Coturnix japonica: one gene and its partner. The protein of the gene in region 2 purifies or fractionates together with the protein of the main gene of each other region. This does not show direct contact. Links are inferred from orthologs where the notes say so. Each region holds a gene or a part of one and is shown on either strand. Other genes may lie near its edges.

What was found.
Region 1: the proteins of LLGL1 (region 2) and PARD6B purify together in Homo sapiens (affinity purification with mass spectrometry; 5 studies listed by BioGRID and IntAct, counting the BioPlex papers as one, with this or other methods). This does not show direct contact. The link is inferred for Coturnix japonica from reciprocal best matches to the Homo sapiens genes LLGL1 and PARD6B.

The regions. Positions count from the first base shown.
Region 1 is NC_029535.1:12,092,156-12,096,633, forward strand, and holds the start of PARD6B (partitioning defective 6 homolog beta), read right to left. Parts: upstream 2,907-4,478; 5' UTR 2,753-2,906; coding exon 2,687-2,752; intron 2,591-2,686; exon of another isoform or gene 2,530-2,590; intron 1-2,529. UniProt on the Homo sapiens protein: Adapter protein involved in asymmetrical cell division and cell polarization processes. Probably involved in formation of epithelial tight junctions.
Region 2 is NC_029529.1:5,078,376-5,082,180, reverse strand, and holds part of LLGL1 (lethal(2) giant larvae protein homolog 1), read right to left. Parts: intron 2,216-3,805; coding exon 1,995-2,215; intron 1-1,994. UniProt on the Homo sapiens protein: Cortical cytoskeleton protein found in a complex involved in maintaining cell polarity and epithelial integrity. Involved in the regulation of mitotic spindle orientation, proliferation, differentiation and tissue organization of neuroepithelial cells.

The DNA of each region.
Region 1 (4,478 bases), on a different chromosome or scaffold from region 2:
ATGGTGGGGTAGGTGTTACACACAGCAGGTGGGGAGGTGTAAATTACCAGGCCTCAGAGCAACCCTTACCTCACCACTGATTAAAACAGCTCTAGAGAATAGAGGCCTTAGAATTCTCACATACCAAGGCACGAAAATAAGGAGACAAGGACCCTATTGTTAGCACATTAACACCGCCCAGACTCAAACAGGCACAGCAGAACAGCCTACACACTATTAACACCTCATCTTCAAAGTTCTCAAATAATGGAATTCTCTGGGGGCACTCTAGAAATATTCCTATTTCAGTCACTTTAAGTCAGAAGAGATGACTCACACAAAGCAAACAACAGCCTGCAGGAGGAGCTTCCTCCACGTCAGAGGCAGCTGAAGTGTGATGTCAGTGATGGAACGTGACCGAGTTCCTGCTGAACCCTGCTGCAGCTATTTCAAGTATGAGCGCTATGGAAACTCTCCAAGCATTGTATCAATCTGCAGTTGTTTGGTTTTGAAAGACAACATAGTTTGAACGGTTAAGTAACACTGGAATTTAAAAGAACGCCACCAACAATCTTACTCTCAACTTGAAGCAAACATGGTGTGATTGCAGCAAGGATATGAACGGTCACATTTCCAAGCATGTGAAGTTAATTTTTCCCCCCACCATTTCCACAGACGTTATGCTCTAACAAAACTTGCCACATGCTCAGTACTACGAAGCTGATAAAGTAGAAAAGCTAAACTAATTCCCTGTCCATATTAATCTCATGTAATAATTGTCTATATTAATCTCATGCAATGTTTCCATTTGATATCAAACGTTGCACCACATTCCACTCTGCACTAACAAAAATTTGCAACTTTAATGAAGCACAGAAACGTAAAATCAGAAGAATCAGCTGGAAAAACACAGCACAAGCTATGGCAATGTACCAGGAATTCACCTGAGATACCCACGTGAGTAAGACTCGCTTATGAGAAGCATCTTTATGTCCTGTCTAATGCTGCATGCCGCTGCTACACTACCAGTCTTAAGCAATAATAACAGAACATAAGACAGATACATTTGCTGGAGCTTATCGGTATATTAGATTTCATTCCATACAAAACAAAGAATCGGAAAACACTATTCCCACTCACAATGGGCTTTGCAGGCATGGGTTTGTCAGTCGGTGCATGATTACTGAGTTGGACTACCTGAACACAGCGTTGGACACTGATGGCAAGCCTTCAAATCTTACAGCACTGCACAGGAATGCTCCCCTCCACCTCCCACACAGCTTTTCTTTCTTTTTTGGAGCTTCTTCACGGAAGGAAGATGACTCCTCTGATACATTAAATCTAGATACTTGAAAGTAATGTATTAGCAACAAGTAGTTCAGAGAACGCCTCGATACATTCTTCATAGTACACTAAGAGACAGCCCCAACTCATTAGACCTGCTCTGCAGAATGCCAAAGGAGGCACCACGCAGCTGATCCCTAGACATACTTGTAATCAGGCAATGCACACTACAGGGGAGGCTTGAGCTGTGGCAAGAAGTATTGCTTATAAACACGTTATTCTGATTGCTTTCAATCCTACAAGCACATAGATTAAAACAACAAACAACACGCTCCACTGACACAGTCACAGCTGTGCTTAACCAGCATTTGGGATCATGGCAGCCAAGTATTCCTTGGCATTGTGACTTCACCCATATCACAGTTAAGTTAAAAACGAGCAGTAATTATCATCCATGCTAGTCCCAAAAGCGCAGCACTGCTTTTCATGTACAAGCACTTGTCACACTAGTGTTTAAAAAACAGACAAGAAAAAGATCCCCAGCTCCCGGCTGCCTCTCCTACACTGCAAAGGGATGCTTGGATTGCAGGAAGGAGCAGAGTACGAACAGCAAACAGACCCGAGCGGCTTAGAAATAAAGAGGCACAAAAGGACTTTTTTTCTTTTAAACCAATGAAAGAAAACATCCCCACAGGGCCGTGTAGTTTGGTGTGATGATGGAAAGGATTTCACAACAACGCATTTCTTTAGCAGCTTCACACCAGTTAAGATTTCACATCTAACGCATATTAAGATTTACAGTTGTAAATGTAATTAACTGCAAAAGGACAAAGTACCAAAATATGATCACGGTAAGCCAAAAAAAACCCCAAGATCTGTTTCAGAACACTGAACATCTGCCAGCAAAACTACGGGAACCAGGAGAAAAAACCAACGGCAATGGATGCAGAAATGATGCAGAAATGCCAATAGACACATGGAGCCTGCGGAGATCTGACAGCAGGGCTGCTGGAGGAGCCACAGCGTGTACATACATACACATACATACACACATACACATACAGCCTCGTGAGAGCTCGGCCGGCACTAAGTTCTCATGCAGACTCTGCCCGCAGAGCAGCCCGGTGTGATGGGCAGCGATCACGGCCCGGCGTCCGTCACAACCCCCGACCCGACCCTGGAACGCCTTTAGCCTCGATCCCCCCCGAGCTCCCACCCCCGCCCCGCTCCGTCCCGCCGCTCGCTGCGCACACCGGGCCCGGTTCCTCCGTCCCGTCGCTCGCTCAGTCCCGCCGCGCGGTTCCCGCCCCAGGCCGCGCTGCCGCAGGTGAGTGACTCAGTGACTCAGTGAGTCCGTGATTCAGCCCCGACCCGCCGGGCTCCCCGCGGTTCCGGCCGGGCCGCCCGCTCCCCGCTCGCTTACCTTGCTCTTCACCTCCATGGTGCCGAGGCCCCGGCTGCCCGCAGGCCCGCGGTGAGGCCGACTCATTCCGCCGGCTGCTCGGCGTCTGCTCTTTTCTCTCGGCCCCGGGCGCCCACGGGTGGCAGAGCGGGACGCTCACGGCCCGGATCCCCCCGGATCCCCCCGCCCCTCACGCCTCCAGCCGCTCCTGGCACCGCGGCGCCGCCCTGACACAGCGGCACCGGGCGGGGCCGGCGGCTCCTGGCACCTGCCGCCCTCACACCGCGGGACGGGGCAGCGCCGCACCGCGCATGCGCACACGGGCGGGGCCGCGCACCTGCCGCTCGCGAGCATGCGCACTGAGCCGTGCGCGCTGAGCGCGGGACGGCGGCACCGAGCACCTGCCGGGTTGAGGCGGAGCTACAAGATGGAGGGGGAGGAACCGCACGGAGATGAGGAAGTACGGAGTGATTCTGTGTAGGGGCGGGGGTGGGACGAGCCGCGGGACCTTTGCTCGGCAGCGGGCGGGTCTGGTGTGCAAACATGGGGCTGTGCGAGGGAACGCGGCCCGGCAGCACGATGCGCTGATCTGTGAGGGAGGAGTGGGACAGCGCCGGGAAAGGGAAGGGAAGGAAAGGCCGCGAGTGTGCGGGGTGTGAGAGAAACATGACTGGATCCGAATGTGTGAGACTGTACGGAGCGGGATGTGTGTGAGACATTGAAACATGACTGACTGCATCCTGCTGGGTGTGACTGCCCCAGCCCAGGCCGTGCTCCCTCCCTGTCCCTCTCATGCTCTTTAGGCCTGTCCTGGCCGTGCAGTTGTTGGACTTTTCTGTTTTAAGCCCCGTCCGTAACCTGGTGACACGCCTGAAGGGTTTTCTGTGACGTCGTTTGTGTGTGTTACACTGCGATAGAACAACCATTATTGTGTAACCGTCCACATAGTGACCTTGGGGAGGTACCGGCAGACCTTAACATGGGGACCGTGTCATGCCTAAAATCTGAAGAAAAAGGATTTTTCATTTACAGAGTTTAGTATGTAGAGGGAGGAAGAAAGCGTGTGAGTCGGCTTATTGAAGTCAAGAGCCCCTTGCAAACCTCTGCCAGGTTTTTAAAGCAGTCAGTTGCCGTTTTCCTTGGAAGAACTTCCTGGAGCTGATCTGTGCCTGCAGCCGATTTTACTGTGGAACATTTCTGGAGTCTCACCTCAGATAAGGATTTTTTTCTATCTTGCATTCCTAGGATGGCTGGAGTTCCACACTGTGGGTGTGGTAACGTGCTTCAGGACTCAGGGCAAATTCATTTCAAGTCTCTGGAACTGACCTAATAAAGAGTATTAATCACTGGCATGCTCTCATCACTGGGAGCTGACGTATGAGGAAGGAATGCAATAAACAGCTTGATTTCAGATCAAGATACAGTGAGAGGCCGGGAGCAGCACAAGTTTGAAGAGCTATTTTAGTCACAGAGTCTACAAACCTGTGACTTGATCATGACTATTCATGGCACAACCAGTTTCAGCTTCTGTGAAGTTGAAAGACAGGTTGGGTTTTGTAATCCCTGGATCAGGGGGACATTCTGTTTCACTGCAGAGAAGTCCCTGGCTACTGCTGTCCCGGATGCTCTTTCAGGTCCATAGAACTGTGTTACCATCTGAGTTGCAGAGGACTCTTGAAGCCATCCAGTGCAACTCCCCTGCAGTGAGCAGGGACGCCTGCAGCTTGATCAGGTTGCTCAGAGCGTGGTCCAGCCTGGCCCTGAGTGGGACGGAGCACCCACCCAGCCCCTCTCTGGGCAGCCCATTTCAGTA
Region 2 (3,805 bases):
TGCTTCAGAAGAAGACCTTCCCTGCTAAGCCAAACAGAACAAGTAAGGTACCAAAATATGTAGAGCCAAACGAGGAAAGGTGCTCTAAGAAGGTAAGCATCACAAGAGACCAACAGGAATACTTACACAATCCAAACAATGCACAGTTTCTGTTCCACAAGCTGCCAAGAGGAATGTGTGCAGTACTCACAGCGCACCATGTACACTGCTTACTGCAGTCATACTGCTTCGTAGGACCAGCCCAACTTACTAAAACACTTTAATGAGCAATCCGAACTGTCTGGATCAGCACGGTTCACTTGGAAGGGACCTTCACAGATAAACCTGAAGAGGTGAGGCGACTGCACTATCTAAACCTTAAAGCATATAGGACCTTAAAGCATAAGCTTAAAGCACAGAAGCATGACCAGCAGGTCGAGGGAGGTGGTGCTGCCCCTCCACACTCCTCTCATTGAAACCCCATCTGGAGCACTGCACGCAGTTCTGGAGCCCTCAACACAAGAAGGACTTGGAGATGTTCAGGCAGGTCCAGAGGAGGGCCATGAAGGTGATCAGAGAGGGCTGAAAGCACCTCTACTATGTGCACAGGCTGAGAGAGATGGGGCTCTTCAGCCTGGAGAAGACTCCAAGGAGACCTTAGAGTGGCCTTCCAGTATCTGAAGAGGGCCTACAGGGAAGGCTGGGGAGGGACTTTTCATAAGGGCAGGTAGCAACAGAATGAGGGGAAATGGCTTTACATGGGAAGAAGGTAGATTAGGATTGGATATTAGGAAGAAATGCTTTACTGTGGGTGTGGTGAGACACTGGAGCAGGTTGCCCAGCAAGGCTCCAATATGATTGCTTTGCAAGTTCCAAACTATGGCTAACAGCTAATGGAAGTCCTCAGTCCAGCAGCACAAAATTTTATATTATCTTCTTAATATTCTAATTGTGGATTTGACGTTCATATAAAGAGCAGAAGGGAAATTACTCTTAGAGCTCAAGTCATCTTTCACAGCCTGCGTCAACAAGAGCAGCACCTCACAGCCTTTGGTTTGAAGACCCGGACCACAAGCTAGCTAATGATTTTACACAGAATTCCAGAGTTCAAGTCATTGTTTATGTTAGGGCTGCAATTCTACTGAAAGCCTTCCAGTTCATCACACTTCATTATCAATGGCACCACAGATACCTCACAAAGAAGCATTATGACGTCACAAAGGGGCATTATGACATCACAAAGGGCATTATGAATCACAAAGGAGCATTATGACATCACAAAGGAGCCTTATGACGTCTCAAAGGGCATTATGACGTCACAAAGGGCATTATGACATCACAAAGAAGCATTATGACATCACAAAGAAGCATTATGACATCACAAAGGGGCATTATGACGTCAAAAAGGGGCATTATGACATCAGAAAGGTGCATTATGATGTCACAAAGGGTGTTATGATGTCACAAAGGGGCATTGTGGACTTCACTGCCGCCCGAGGCTCGGTGCGCGCGCGGCCGCAGAGGGGGGGCGGCAGCGACCAGGGAAGACCGGCCAAGCGGAACGGAACCAACCCGGGAGCGGCCACGCCGGCAGCGGGGAGCGTCTTGCCCCGGATCAACCCCAGCCCCGCCCGCCGCTCTGGTACGAGCCGCAGCCCCGCCGGCCCCACATGATGAAGAGTTCCGTTCCGCGCAAGGGCGCAGAGCCGAACCGAGAGCGGATCAGCCACGACCTGTTCGCCTTCAGCAAGACAGTGGAGCACGGCTTCCCCAGCCAGCCCAGCGCCCTGGCCTACGACCCCTGGCTGTGTGTGATGGCCATCGGCACCAAGGCAGGAGCTGTTTAAGCTGTACGGCGCGCCTGGTGTGGAGCTGACGGGTTTGCACAAGGAGACGGCCACTGTCACCAGCATGCACTCTTCTTGGCCGGGCAGCAGGGCTGGCTGCTGTCCCCTGCTGGATGACAACTCGCTGCACCCCTCTGGGAGATCTACCAGAAGGAGGGCTGCTCCCACCTGGAGGAGACACGCAGCTTCGGGCTGCCTGCACGCCCTGGCTGAAGCTGCGTGTCTCCTCCAGGTGGGAGCAGCCCTCCTTCTGGTAGATCTCCCAGAGGTGCAGCGAGTTGTCATCCAGCAGGGACAGCAGCCAGCCCTGCCCGGCCAAGAAGTGCAGCTGGGTGACAGTGGCCGTCTCCTTGTGCAAACCCGTCAGCTCCACGCCAGGCGCGCCATACCTGGGGGGGGTGTTAAGGAAAAGAAACAAAAAACACCCCCAACAAAAACCAACACAGCCCCCCGAGCTCCGCTTGGCAGCCACTCAACCAGCACCCTGCACTGAGCCCAGGTTAACCCCCATTGCAGCCAAACCCCCTCCCGCTCCCACCCCACGTCCCTGACGCCCCACACAAATCCCCCAATCCCTGGCCGAGGGTCACCAAGCAACGGCCCTTCAGCTCGTGTTGCTGGGAGCAACCCGCTCTGCCGCCAGCCGCTGTGCTCATCCCGCTGCTCCCCCCACCCGCTTCCTGCCCCCAGCCCACCCAGCCCCGCACACAGGGCCCCGAGCGGCCCCGCACAGCAGCGAGCTGCAGGGTCTGCAGCTGGGGCCGAGGAAATGAGGTTGGATGGTGCTGAGCTGGAGGCCCCAGCGCTCGGTTCTGGGGTGAGACGCACCCTGAGCTACCCCCAGCCCAGAGAGTGGGATGGATCCGACATTCCCGGTCCCGTTTGGCCGCCCCATTGCACTCATGTAGCGGCCAGGAGCCCACCCGCAGGGATGGCCCCAATTAGCCACGCTCGCTTGGGCACGGACAATGTCCGCAGTGCTGGGAGCTCCTGGGGCCCTCAGCTTTCCCATGGGCCCCCCCAGCTCAGCAGGCACTATGCAGCCAACACCGGTGCGGCACAACCACAGCACCGAGTGCTTCACCGCGCCGGCACCGCAGGCCCAACGCTTCCGACCGCCGTCATGGGTCAGGATGCGGTTGGCATGTGGCCATGCGGGCACACGAGGGCCGGGCCGGATCCTGGCCTCCACCACCCCCTTCTTTCTCAGCAGGGTGGGGTTTGGTATGCGCCGGCACGGCCGCACTCACCCAACTGGTCCCGGCTCCTCCATCGGCAACGCCGCTCAGCAGGAAGCGCGGCAGGACCGGCACCGATGCTCTGCACCCATAATCACGCAGCACCCCAAGTGCATTGAGCCTCCCAGTCCCCAGCTCAACGACCCCACAGCCCTCCCAGCCAGCTGCCTCCATGGCCCCAACCCCGGGCACTGCCTCACACCTCAGAGTTACATGCGGGGCTGGATGGAGGCATCCCTGCAGCGTGGTTTCCGCACACCTCCCCGTGCCCCGCACGCTGCCCTGGGCACGGGGAACCGGCCCGGCGGCTCTGGCAGGTGGGAGCTGTCTGGCAGCGCCGGTGTGGCCAAGCTGGAGCCGCCGCGGCGCTGGGGACGGCCCGGAGGAGCCAGACAGCCGGGTTGGGGCCGTGGGGATCAAGGAGTGGGGCAAAAGCACAGCCCCAGGGCAGCCGCCGACCCACTGGGATGGGGCACGGCGATGGCACCCAGCGCTGCTCACCAACCCACGGCACAACACCAAAGGGCTCCCAGTGGAACTCAACACACCATCCCTAAAACACGCTGATGGGCAATAAGCACTAGGGCTATGCAGCACACAGCAGTGCAGTACTATAAGGGGACCAAGTGCCAGGACCCCCTGGTTGCTGAGGAGACACAGATTGCTGGGGGTGGAGATGGTCCCCCAGCATCCTACCCAGAACCAGAACCAGCACAGACATGGCCAGGATGGCACCAGGAC